Linked DNA regions of Xenopus tropicalis. The protein of the gene in region 2 interacts with the protein of the main gene of each other region in a biochemical or structural test. Links are inferred from orthologs where the notes say so. Each region holds a gene or a part of one and is shown on either strand. Other genes may lie near its edges. The genes, in order: ube2n, sh3rf1 and akt2.

The links.
Region 1: the proteins of sh3rf1 (region 2) and ube2n form a complex in vitro, tested with the Homo sapiens proteins (2 studies listed by BioGRID). The link is inferred for Xenopus tropicalis from reciprocal best matches to the Homo sapiens genes SH3RF1 and UBE2N.
Region 3: the proteins of sh3rf1 (region 2) and akt2 form a complex in vitro, tested with the Homo sapiens proteins (2 studies listed by BioGRID and IntAct, with this or other methods). The link is inferred for Xenopus tropicalis from reciprocal best matches to the Homo sapiens genes SH3RF1 and AKT2.

What each region holds. Positions count from the first base shown.
Region 1 is NC_030679.2:56,096,441-56,100,476, forward strand, and holds the start of ube2n (ubiquitin-conjugating enzyme E2 N), read right to left. Parts: upstream 2,828-4,036; 5' UTR 2,810-2,827; coding exon 2,780-2,809; intron 1-2,779. UniProt on the Homo sapiens protein: The UBE2V1-UBE2N and UBE2V2-UBE2N heterodimers catalyze the synthesis of non-canonical 'Lys-63'-linked polyubiquitin chains. This type of polyubiquitination does not lead to protein degradation by the proteasome.
Region 2 is NC_030677.2:50,108,857-50,113,026, reverse strand, and holds the start of sh3rf1 (E3 ubiquitin-protein ligase SH3RF1), read right to left. Parts: upstream 2,812-4,170; 5' UTR 2,580-2,811; intron 1-2,579. UniProt on the Homo sapiens protein: Has E3 ubiquitin-protein ligase activity. In the absence of an external substrate, it can catalyze self-ubiquitination. Stimulates ubiquitination of potassium channel KCNJ1, enhancing it's dynamin-dependent and clathrin-independent endocytosis.
Region 3 is NC_030684.2:77,753,492-77,757,822, reverse strand, and holds the start of akt2 (RAC-beta serine/threonine-protein kinase), read left to right. Parts: upstream 1-1,492; 5' UTR 1,493-1,503; intron 1,504-1,550; exon of another isoform or gene 1,551-1,650; intron 1,651-4,331. UniProt on the Homo sapiens protein: Serine/threonine kinase closely related to AKT1 and AKT3. All 3 enzymes, AKT1, AKT2 and AKT3, are collectively known as AKT kinase.

The DNA.
Region 1 (4,036 bases), on a different chromosome or scaffold from region 2:
AGGTTCTATAAATATTCAACACAGTAAAAGGCTTAATCTTTCCCATAAGGAATGGTTGTGGGAAAGATCTTCAGTAGGCAGGTAGGGTAACTAAAAAAAAAAGAGCAAAATCATGTGAACTAGCTATAAACTGAAATAGAAATCAGGACAAGAAATATCATGAAAAAATGGTATGTAATAGTGAATAAAACTGAAAAATAAAGAAGCAGGCCAGTAAATGTACTGATGCCTTTGAACTCGAGTTAGTAATAACTTTTGAGAATACCACAGATAGCAAGGAACAAACATGGATCCTTGACAAGATCAAACCAGACTTTCCACTTGATTCGCTAATAAGAAAACTGAAGCTTTCTTATGTTAGACATATCAGAAGATCATGATAATTGCATTAGACAATTTATAAACGTTGAATGGAAAATAAAATGCATGCAGGCAATATCTATATTGTTGCCAAGGGTCAACACCCAATTGATGGCACATTATTTCACTGCATGTTATCTTATGTATGTTAGAAATACTCCAAGGAAGCCATAGTGAGATTCAGATTTGCTGTGTAGCTTCAAATAAATATTTTACATGTAAAATACGGTTTCATTTTAACTGCAACAGCAAAACAAACCAAAAACTTTTACAACAAATATGCATTAAATGATAATATGCATTAAAACAAAACATCTAAGGGCTTTTTAAGCCAAATGATTTTAACCGTTTGATTTTATTTAGTGATGCTGTCTACACCATCACCAACATCTCTCTCCCAGCACTCAGTGCAGCATTTTGACAGGTTGCCAGCAATTAGCTTTAGAAATTAAAGTGGTGTAAGCTGGAATCATGACAGGAAGTGCTGGTGATCTGTTCCTGCTGAATTAAACTACATATACCACTTTGGTGCATGGTTTATATGCCAGTTTTTCTGCATGTGTTACAGCGATGCACTTAAATAGCTACTATATTGAAAGCAAGAGTGTGCTATATTTTTCAATCTCATCACATCCAGCCACAAACTTCTTCCATTTCATCCGTGTATTTTGCGAAATGTTTTCTTTGTATATCAGATGTATGTAAGAAGTCCAGCAAAAATATTTAATTATACATGTGAGGTTGGAAAAAAGGTTCAAATACTGGTTAAAAGTATCTTGCATAATATATGATATAATTTAGACAGGAAATGTGGAAACACTGCTGACAATATAGAAGATGGTTGTCACTGATTCACATAAAAAAGTGAAGCAGATAGAGCTTAGCAGAGGCAGACATCCCAAAAAATGAACATTTAAAATATTTAATTAGAATTTAAGTAAAATCTGGGCTTCAGCACAGTACCTAGTCCAATATTGATATTCATAGGCCAATTTCCCAACCACTGTAAATGGCAATACTATCAACCTAAGTTACCCAACCATTTAGCATGAAGATTTAAAGGACAGATATCTGCTTCCTTCAGTGCCTCACATCATATGACATTCAACTGTATCTTTATTTGACTTAAAGGGATGATGCAACTTCAGAATAAAGTATATGCCATGCGTTCCACAAATAAATGTTGTGGCTGAAGTTCTGAAAAGCTAATAGTGAATCCTGTGGCAAAATATAACCTATCACAAGCTGCTGGGACAAGAACAGGTCTTCTGAGAGACTGCACATTACGCAGAGACACCACAAAAGAGGGAACCTGGTTGCCTCTTTAGAGCATTGACAGATGGAGCTACTTGTTGTGGCTACAAAATAGACAACAGTAAATATTCTCAATATGTGTTTCAGCAGAGACAATTCTCAGTATTATCTATAGAAGGGTATTTTCTGGTACTTTGTGGCTGCAACTAGTAGCTCTGTGTGTCATTAAGTAGTTTACCTAGAATAAGAATTCTTAATCTAGGTGTTGGGGAACCACAATGAATCCCCGTCCACGCTACTTAGGTTGGGTCTCCATAACCTTTACCTGACCGAAAACGCCACTGAAGAACAGTAATTACGAATTATAATATGGTGCTTAAAGGATCCTAAATTAATTAGTGGTTCGTGAGTTGTTCCAAAGTCACCTGGATACCCCAGAAAAACGTAACACTTACCTAGAAGCAGCTCTGCGCTAGTATTTAGTAAGGGTAAAATCCCCCTTAGCATGGCTCAACCAACAGCCATGTAAAAATGTAGAATACATTGGGGTACAGTGACAAGCAGAACTATTTGGCTCCCAATTTAACTAAATGAGGTGCAATAAATAGTGAGCCAAGATGAAATATACCCTCCTTACTAATCAATAGCCTACCTATATATAAAATGGTCTACTGCCGACACCTCTGCCGTCAATTGATGCAGTAAAATGCGATATAGCTCCTAAACACTAAGCACACGTATTAGTAATGGCATGCAGTGTCTGGGGGAGTCACCCTATGTGCTACAGTGTAACTCATTCCTATATACCCCCCCCCCCATATCTGTACCCTTATGTAGCCTTAACGCTAACAGACTACAAGCAAATGGCGTGGGTGTGGTCGGCACAAGGTTTTACTTCAAGCACAAAAAATAACGTTGTCCCCATATCCCCGTTGGGGTGGTTTCCTATACAAGGCGCGCACACATAGCGACCCCGGACCCTCAACCCCATCAGACATCACTACAGGCCCAGTACCACCCGGCGGGTGCCATGTTGAAGCGGGCTGGAGGGCGGGGACATTCCCGGGCCTTGTCTCCATTCATTCGGATCAATGCCGCTGATCTAAGCCCAAGACATAACGTAAAGCAATCGCTACTACTTCACTAGCTACAAGCCGCCAATTACCTTGATTATCCTGCGAGGCAGCCCGGCCATCCTGTCTTATAATGCGTGCAGCCTCCAACTCTCTGCGTGCCACCGGATCCCCCTGTCACGCACAAGTGAGAGCGCGGCATCCGCTTCCGCTGACGTCATTGCGACAGCCCACAGGCTCATGGGAGATGTAGTTGTAACGGGACTCGTTATTCCTCTCATGTATAATGATGTAATCACGCTTGTTGGTGTGTGTAGTCAGAATGTTCATTTTAGCCCAAGGAACAATGCTTAAGTGTTTCAGTATGTCTTCTATGCACTGCCTGTAGCGAGCATAGAAGACATTGAAAACCAACAAGACGTAAGAAACGAACAGTCGTGTTAGCATGATGAGGTTTCAGCTTCACCCCACCCCATACAGCTGGCGAGACAAGAAATGAAACTGGAGTCAGACTATGCTATAAGGCCTGAAAGTAGGACACCTTGAATAAAACCATATGACTTCACTATTATATTAGCAGAAAAAAAAGCAACTTCATATTAACACCCTCTGAATGTAATGTTAGGCAGGTAGCAAATGTTTTGATTCTTTTGGTAACAGAATATAAGACTCTACTTGAATAGAAGTCGGGGTAATAGTGTATAGAGCCAGTCTATCAGAAATTGTTTACACATTTTGCAGAAACCCCAGCATCAACAAAAGCTTAATTCATGGTGGCTTAGTGGACTGCCTTGCAGTGCTGGGATCCTGTATTCAAAACCAGTTTGAGCATGCAAGGAGTTGGTATGTTCTTTCTGTGTCTGGAGTAGCTCTGGCTAGTCCAGTTCCATCTCACACACCAAAAACATATAGATAAGTTAACTGCCTACTCCCTAAAATGCTTTCCCACTGGCAATAAAGTGACTTATTGGTGGAAAGGAATATGCAGCACTACATTGGCCAAAGTTTCTTGTGCAGAAAACATTGCATGACTGGAAAACAAAGTGACGTGTGTGCTTTCCCACCAGCGATCTGACTTTAACTGCAGGCGGCTAATCTCCCTGTGTGCCACTGCCCTTACAGTCTAAGGTCCCTATCACATTATGGTCAGTAAAATGAGTAACCAATTAACTTGCCTGTATGTTTTTGGTGTGACACACATCAGACATCATTACAGGCCCAATACCACCCTGCGGGTGCCATGTTGAAGCGGGCTGGAAGGCGGGTACATTCTCTGGGAACATACTAACTCCTTGCAGATAGTGCTCAAGCCATGTGTGCTTTCCCACCAAAGATTCATTTTATTGCCA
Region 2 (4,170 bases):
CCCCCCCCGAACCTTCTCCTGTGCTTTGGCGCGCATGCGCCGTTCGGGGGGGCGGAGAGGTGGGCGGAGTTGGCCGACCGTGTTGCCTAGGGCGCCCGGTCGGCTTGGCCCACCCCTGTTTACTACCACTATTTTTGGCGTATATCATTTTACAAAGCATTAAGATACCAACCCAATGTTGGACTGGCAGACTAGTGAGTTTATGAGAACTGTTTATGCAGGCACTCAAGGCTTTGGCACAATTGCACGTAACCTATGACACTAGTGTAATTCCCCACTTATATTACAGTGTCACCCACAGTAACCTGCATCACTTAATTCCCTCCTATTTGTGTCTGTAAGTTACCCTGCCATTTAGATTGTAAGCTCTATTGGGCAGGTACCACCATCCTCTTGTCTCTTTCATTTGCCCTGTGAAATCTTAAATGCAACTCTACTTTTTATTTGCATTCATTATTATACTTTGTATTTATGTATCTATTATTTTAATGACCCCGTTTATTAATTTATTGCTCTGCTGTACAGTGCTGCGTACATAAGTAGAGCTATATAAATAAAAATATACACACATACATCCCGCAGTTAAAGTTCCCAGCAAAACCCTGAAAACATTAGAAATTTGGTAAGATCTTTTACTATGTGATCTAACTTCCACTACAGAACCAAGCTTTTTTACCTGCTAACCCACAGAGAAATTATTGCACTATACCAAAACCTTCACACATAATAATATATATATATATAGTTCTTTTCTTTTACTCTGGGCTCAAAGAAAACAAACAGTCAGTACGGTTGTGCACATAAAACGTGCTTACTCAGTGCTGCCTCAGGCCATTTACATGCTCTTGCACTAATACACTAACACCCTTTGCTTTCACCGGCACTCACACTTATAGTTATTTGTATGTAACTGGCATGTTTGATATATACACTTGTTTATTGTACCGCGCAGTGGAATATGTTGATGCTATGAATACAGTGTTAATCTCAATCAATACCAATGCCTGTACTGGTTATAATATGGGTACCAGACGAGAGGAAACCACAACCCTTCTAACAGAAGGACTAGATAAATTCATTTAGCTATCTGTTTCTATGGAAACCAGTCACAGGAACAAAGATTCCTGTTGCCAGCCCTTCAGTGTGGAAGGAAAAGACCCTTCACCACAAAAGAAAGGACACAGAGTGTGGAGAGTGACAGAGAGACACAGTAAGGCACTCACAGATGTCCAAGTGCCAAAGAATCCAGGGTTTGTTTAGCACAGAGTTAAGGCTGGGGAAGCACAGGGGTTAATCCCTCCCATTAACCCAGCCTTGGTGTATGGGCAGTTTCACATGCTGCCTTTCCCTTTTGCTATGGTAATGCAGGGGAATGTGAGAGAGTGTTACCCAGGACACTTCCTGCTACATGTTTGGAGCATGAGTATAGTGAACGGGGTGGAGCCATTCCCACGTCTAGTGAAAATTCCATATCGCTTTCTCCTCTTCTCACCTGAAGCAATGAGATTAAAGTTTAATGAGCTCTGCCAGGGGATGATACTATGGCTCCCACTTCCTTCCTCGCAGCAGCAGTTGAGAAGGCAAATGATCCAGGGATCCTTGTTTATAGCTCTGTTTACTTATAAATGCTGTCAGTCACATTAAGGGGCATATTTATAAAGGTGTATAAAAAATCTTCTAAATCTAAAAATTACCAAATGTCTGCACATTAACACAAAGGTGCCATTACAACAAACACAGAACCTTACACCACTTTTGATACCACCAATTCCTTGCCACTAGATTTTGCCCCATTCACTTCAATGGGTTGCGACAGGGCTGAGGTGGAGTAAAATCATGGTGTAATTAGCAGTTAGGCTGGCAAAATACATGACACACCTTTATAAATATGCCGATTAGCTCTTTGTAATAGATTATGCCTAAAGGACATAATTCATGTGTAAGCACAGTGGAGGAAATATACCAGTTATTTGACACCAACTTTTAAACTATATCATAGGTGTAAAGTGTCTTACAGAGCTTTATAAATGTGCCCAATATATTATGTACCTGGTAGGTCCAACTGGAGCTCCTCCATGTATTGATAAACTACAGCTTCCAGGATACCATTTCAGCCTCTGGCTCAAGGGGAATGCTGGGAGCTGCAGTACAACAACAGCTGTGAGGAATCAGCTTGGGCATGCTGGATAATAAAAATGAAGCATAGCATTGGCACCCAGTACAGTTGGTATAATATTAGGACTGCTCCCAATATTATACAAACTGTACTGGGTGTCAGTGCTATGCAAGGGAAGTCCAAACTGCAGCCCTCCAGCAGTCAGGGGATGAGGGCAGATAACAGTGCCACATTCGCTGGAGGGCAGCTTCAAGCAATCTCTGTTACTGTGTAATTACATGATTAGAAGAGAAACAGGTCCTGCAGGACTGCTCCTCTGAACCCCAGACCACCCCAGTTAGTGAGAGCAGGCAGTGACACCCACCCCCATTCCAAAGTAGACCCATCAGCCTTGCTAACATTACACTCCCCTTGTCTTGCCAAAGTGCGAGCAGGCACCAGGCTGCCAGGAGCCAGCACTGACCTGCAGAGGAAGCCCAGGGCTCGGCACTGACCTGCAGAGGAAGCCCAGGGCTCGGCACAGAGTTGCACAGGCTGCGCGATCACTTCTCTCCGGGGATTTCAAGAGCCGGGGGAAGACCTACAATCCAAAGAACAGACTATGGGGATCCACTGAGCCCCTCGGTGTCTCCTGTGCCTTTGTCCCTGCGGCAATATCACTGAGTGTGTGCCTGGGTCTCTCCCATGAACTCCCTCCTTCTCCTCCCTGCCATCCGACAGGAGCACGTCACGGCTATGGGAGGGGGAGCAGGGGGAGGAGATGGGCAGGGGCTCCGGCTGCCGCTGCTGAACGTGGAATGAGAGAGATGGGATGGTGGCTATGGAGCAATACTATGGGATATACCAACTGCGCTGACTGTGAGGGTATGGAGCATCATTCCATATGCGCCTCACGGAGCTCTTTCTGCTGCTAAGCCACGCATAATGGATGATCCAGCAGATCCAGATATACCTATATACTTATTATATACTAACAACCCCATGTGTTGTGTAGGCACTACAACATTACATATTTTAGTTTATGACACTGGGTTTATCGGTTTTGCCGAAATATTGTTTTTATCAGTTGCTGGAGCTTATTTAATAAGCCTGAAACTAAGGGAACAAACAATCTTCATTAAAACTCAATTTGTTTCCACACAATTGTGAACTGCTGATTTTGTCAACTCCTAACATCAATCTGTGGGGCATATTTATTATGCTGTGTAAAACCAATTTGTAGAAAAAATGATGTAAAAAGGTGTGTAAAATGGAGAAGATCACAGCCCGAACGCAAGGTTTTACGCCATTATTTTACGTAAGATCCAGCGGAAGAAAAAACTTGTAAAACAATTACGCCATTTTTACGCCGGTTTTTACACGGCAAAGCCTGGCGATGTGTGGCAAATTTACCCACCGATTTTTAGACAGCATAATAAATATGCCCCTGTGTGTGTACATGTGCCTGCAAAGTATCCCAGCTGTGCCTCAGCCTCATAGACAAAGCCCTAAGCCGGCTGGGCTGTTAGAAAGTGCCTGGCAATACAATACAGGCTCCTTCAGTTTGTAAGGATACCCGCCCTCCCTCCGGAGCAATCCCCATCTCACCTATGTGCTGCAGCAGCGCTAAAACTGGGTCAAATAAGCTATAGGATTCAGGGATGGGTTTTATGGTGACCTGGTTTCACCTGATCGGTCTCATAGGGCACCTCAAGCAGGAGGGTATTCACTGAACAGTATGATACTTTGGGCCTGTGTTACAAGCAGCAGCAGATAAAGGGAGCACTGTATTTTCTAATTGCACAGGGCACTAATTATAAAACAGTTTCCTTTTCTAAGCCATGATCTAATACACACACGATGAATCCTGCATACAGCAGAATGTGGAACACTCAGTGAACACACATAATATAGGATTTGAAGGGATACATCCACCCACTATACTAGTAGCTATCAGACTTTTTCCCTTAAAGGAATGCTTTAATGGGAAAACATTTTTTTTTTCAAAACATGTCAGTTAATAGAGCTTCTCCAGCAGAATCCTGCATTAAAAACAGTTTTTCAAAAACACAGAT
Region 3 (4,331 bases), on a different chromosome or scaffold from region 2:
CACCCTGCGAACTTTTTCCATGCTTTTGTTGCTCCCCAACACTTTTTCCATTTGAATGTGGCTCATGGGTATAAAAGGTTGGGGATCCCTGCCATACACGTTCAGGTTTTAGTCTTCTTCCAAAAAACGTTAGGATATCTGTCATACATTTAAATGAAACTATCTAAAACTAACATTTGAGACTCAAACTGTAAGATAAAGCCCTAAAAATAACAAATCGGAGGATGTTCTGAACACAAGATAGTTGGCAGACACCAGTCGTATGAAGGAGACTGTAGGTCCCCCAAAGATATAGTCAGATACACAATACATACACAGATATTATCACTATCCGACCCAAATGTTCTAACCTGCCCAGTCAACTAAAGGTCCCCATACACGAGGCGATTTCACTCGTTGTGCGACGAACGATTATATCGACAAACGATCGTATGGTGATTGGGTTTCCATACGATATGCCATCCACGGCCAACGATAATTTGCAAAAGATTTCATCGTATCATCATCGTAAAGTACGTATGATCGTACATCTACGTACGATCCAATGTCGTGGCGGAAATGGTATTTATTTATTTATGTTTGTTGACTTCCGCTGCTGGCAATCATGACATGCGCAGAAAACAATCGTTCGAAGACAAATGTCTGACACTCACACCAACTGGCAGATTTTATCGTTAAACGACTAAAATTTTTAAACCTGGCCGATCGATTTTGGGGACGATAATGTCGGGTCGATTAGTGGGCCGACGATCGTTTGCACACCATCAACTATACGATAACTTAACGATAGTATCGGATCGTTCGGGAATCAGTCGTTTGACAGTAAAAAATTGGCCCATGTATGGGGGCCTTTAATGCTGCGGTTAAGAAAATTATCGGGATGATAATTCTGAGCCTACTCACGGTCCAAAAACCGTACAAAACCGATCTTATTGGGGCATGGCCAGTTTTAGAGACTACTTTTGGCTAACTTCGCCCATTTTCTTCCCCCCTTGTTTGCACAAAAAGACTATAAAAAATACAATTTCACTTGGTACAAGTTTGCACAAAAATTGTTTTCCTGTTTTGTCAAATTCGGAGAAGAGCCTCTGCTGCCAGCAGGCACCCTTTGCAATCAGGAAAAAGTGTTCTTTTAGTCCCCTGGCATAACTTCTAAGGAAACTGGGATCTCAGGTGGCAAGGGGCACGGCGGGAAACCAACACAAAACAAGTTTTTTTTTTTTTTTTGTTCTTTAACAGAAGTAGGAGGTGCGAGCAGAGGAAAAACAAATTGTGAGTAGAACTACAGCGTCTCAGCAGCAGCTCCTACTGTATGAATTACGCCGACTCGTCACTCCCACAAGTAGGCTATAGTGCGTCACTGCGCTTACGTCTCTGCGCCAGTCTCGCGTGATGAGAGCTGCGGTGTTGGGGCTGTAGGAGAAAGAACTTGCAGGCACCCTAGCAACCGCCCTCCCTTCCGAAGTAGGCAGCTCTGTGACAGCAGGGAACCCGATAATCCAAGTAAGTGCAGCATAGCCCCTTCCCCCTTAAGACCCGAAACCCACCGGGGCCGGGACGTCTGTTCCCCATGCCCCCCCCCCTTGATGGCGGCCCTGAGAGTGGTTGCCGTGCCAGGGCTACACAGAAAGCAACAGCAGGCCATTCCAGGTAAGTTGAAGTGGGCCAGCACCAAAATGATATCTTTTGAGCTACCTACTTAAATATTTCTTTTACTGGTACCATACAGCATTGTCTGGGGTATTCATCCCACTCTTTGAGCAGCTGTTTGCTTGCATGTACACTGAGTGGTGCAGCCATTTGTAGATCAATGTGTCTGGTTAAAGGATGGTGTGCTTACTTTATGCGTTTTATGAATTCATTTTATAACGTTTCCACGAAAGAGTGTAAACTATAAAACGTTTGGATCTCTCCAGTACTGAATCCTACTAGCCTGACTTTGTACTGTGTTAGAGAATGTTCTCAGTGATACAATGGAAACATTTCATTTATTTTTTAGGTAATCACACTGTTTTTGACATTGGACTGTGCTTGTTTAACAACAAATAGAGAATGTAGCCAAAATATGTGTTGTTTTCTAAGTCCAATATAGGTCAGTATAAAAGTTTAGAGCTAGAACAGAAGATGCAGCATGGAATTGATAGGGTGCTAATTTGGCTTAATGGTCAACTTACTGCTTAATTACTGAATTAGAAAACCACTATTTTCCATGGTATTTCTTGTAGAACAGGGGAAAGCTATTGGGTATCAAGCTGGCAATATCATTTGGCATATAGAAATCTCATTTCAGAATAATCTGTACTATTGTTTTCCAGATTTCGCCCTTTAAAAACAGTATAGCAAGCACTCAAATCAAGCTTATGCAGAGGCTTCTTCACCTGAGAAGATATACTAAAAGCATATTGTTCTTCCCATTGAACTTTCCACCCTGGCGGGTGCAAAAGAATATTGCCTACCTCACCTAACGTAATAGAAAACATGTCTTACAGGTGCTGATAGGACTGTGCGCTTATGCAAATTCAGTATGTAGTGTATTTGCAGAAGTGCAGAATCCTACCAGTGCCTGTGAAAAGTATTATTATAGTGGACAAGGCTGGGGGAAGCTTTAAGACGCATCAGAACTGGACAAAAACTGCTAGGGGGGAAACTGAATTATTAGGCTGCTGTTTATACACAAATGAAAGTAATGTTGTAATGACGGGCTGCTGCAAGTAACTATATACCAGTGCTTAGTTTAATTACTTTAGCATCTGTTAGTGATAATATGCAGCCTATATTTACACAAAAATAGAAATTAATTCCAGGGACTCCAATTCAACCTGTGTACATATGTACATTGCTTAGTATACAAATGAGTTGTTTGTACCAGACTTTTGTCAGAATATGTAACTTCTCCCTCATTGTATAATATTAAGTTGACCCACTCTTTTCTGCTATAACTTTCCACTAGAAGTTGGAGCAAAGTTGGTGGGGTTTGCTTCCATTCAGCTGCAAGAGAGAAATAGCAAGTTACATCCCACAGAAGTTTTTGTGTTGAGGCCAGAGTTGTGTGCAGGCCAGTCAAGTTCTGTAACCATGAAAAAAGGCCCAGACCATTATATCTTGTCAACAAAATTTTACAATTGCCATTATGTATTCAAAGTGGTAGTGTTCTCCTGACTTATGCCATACAGACTTGTTCATCAAACTGCCAGATGGTATTTCATCACTTTAGAGACTGCCCCATGGTGGTGACCTTAACACCACCCAAGCCAACACTTTACAGTATTTGACTTGTGTGCAACTGCTTGCCCATAAAATACCCAGAGACATTTTAAAATCTGACATTTGACATGTTTCTTCTACTTTCTGCAAGCCCAGAATTATTGCAATAGTAATTTCATAGTTACATACCCAACTTAGGATAGTGTAATGTCAATGTCTTTTTGGTCCTTTAGACAATCTTACCTTAATTTTAATTGTTTTTCTTTATCTCATCTCGGGGATTTATTAAAAAATCATCACAATAGGAATCAGGCACTGGTTATGGCATTTTCTTTTTCTAGATTACTGTCAATAAATTCTGTCAGGCCAGGCTTAAACCTCAACAACTTGACACTTCTCATTCTTCATATTTTAAAGGAAAAGGAAAGGCTAAGTCACTTGGGGGTGCCAAAATATTAGGCATCCCAAGTGACTTTAATCGCTTACCTTGTAGCTTGGGGTTGGTGCCCCTGTTAGGAGAAAACAGCACCAGCCCGGGGTACCTGTAGCGAGCGCTTCCTGCTTCGTTTTGCCAGGACCCCATGACCGGTGCATGCGCAGTAGAGTGAAAAGCCGACTTCTCTGGTAAAGTTCGGCTTTTTCACTCTACTGTGCATGCGCACAGGAAGGAGGAAGCGCCCCAGGTACCCTGGGCTGGTGCTGTTCTCTCCGAACAGGGGCACCAGCCCGGGGTAAAAGGTAGGCAATTTAAGTCACTCGGGGTTGCCCAACTTTTTTGGCACCCCCAAGTGACTTTCCCTTTCCTTGTCCTTTAAGGTCTTCTGCAAGATTCAGTTCAATGACAATTAAAATATCAGAATTGTAGACTTCACTATGGATATTATGCACCCAGGGTAGGTTTTACAATTGCGCAGTTTTGGCCACCAGTTGATGCTGTTTATGCTGTTATCGGTGTTATTTTATTTTTATTATAATTTTATACATAATGCTGACATATTCTGCAGACCTTTACAGAGATGATACATCAGTGTGACCCTCTCAGGGAACAACTAAGAGTTGCTGTAAGCTCCAGCAAATCTACAGGTATGCAAGTCACATTGTTAGACGTAATATCTGGTTTGAAAGTA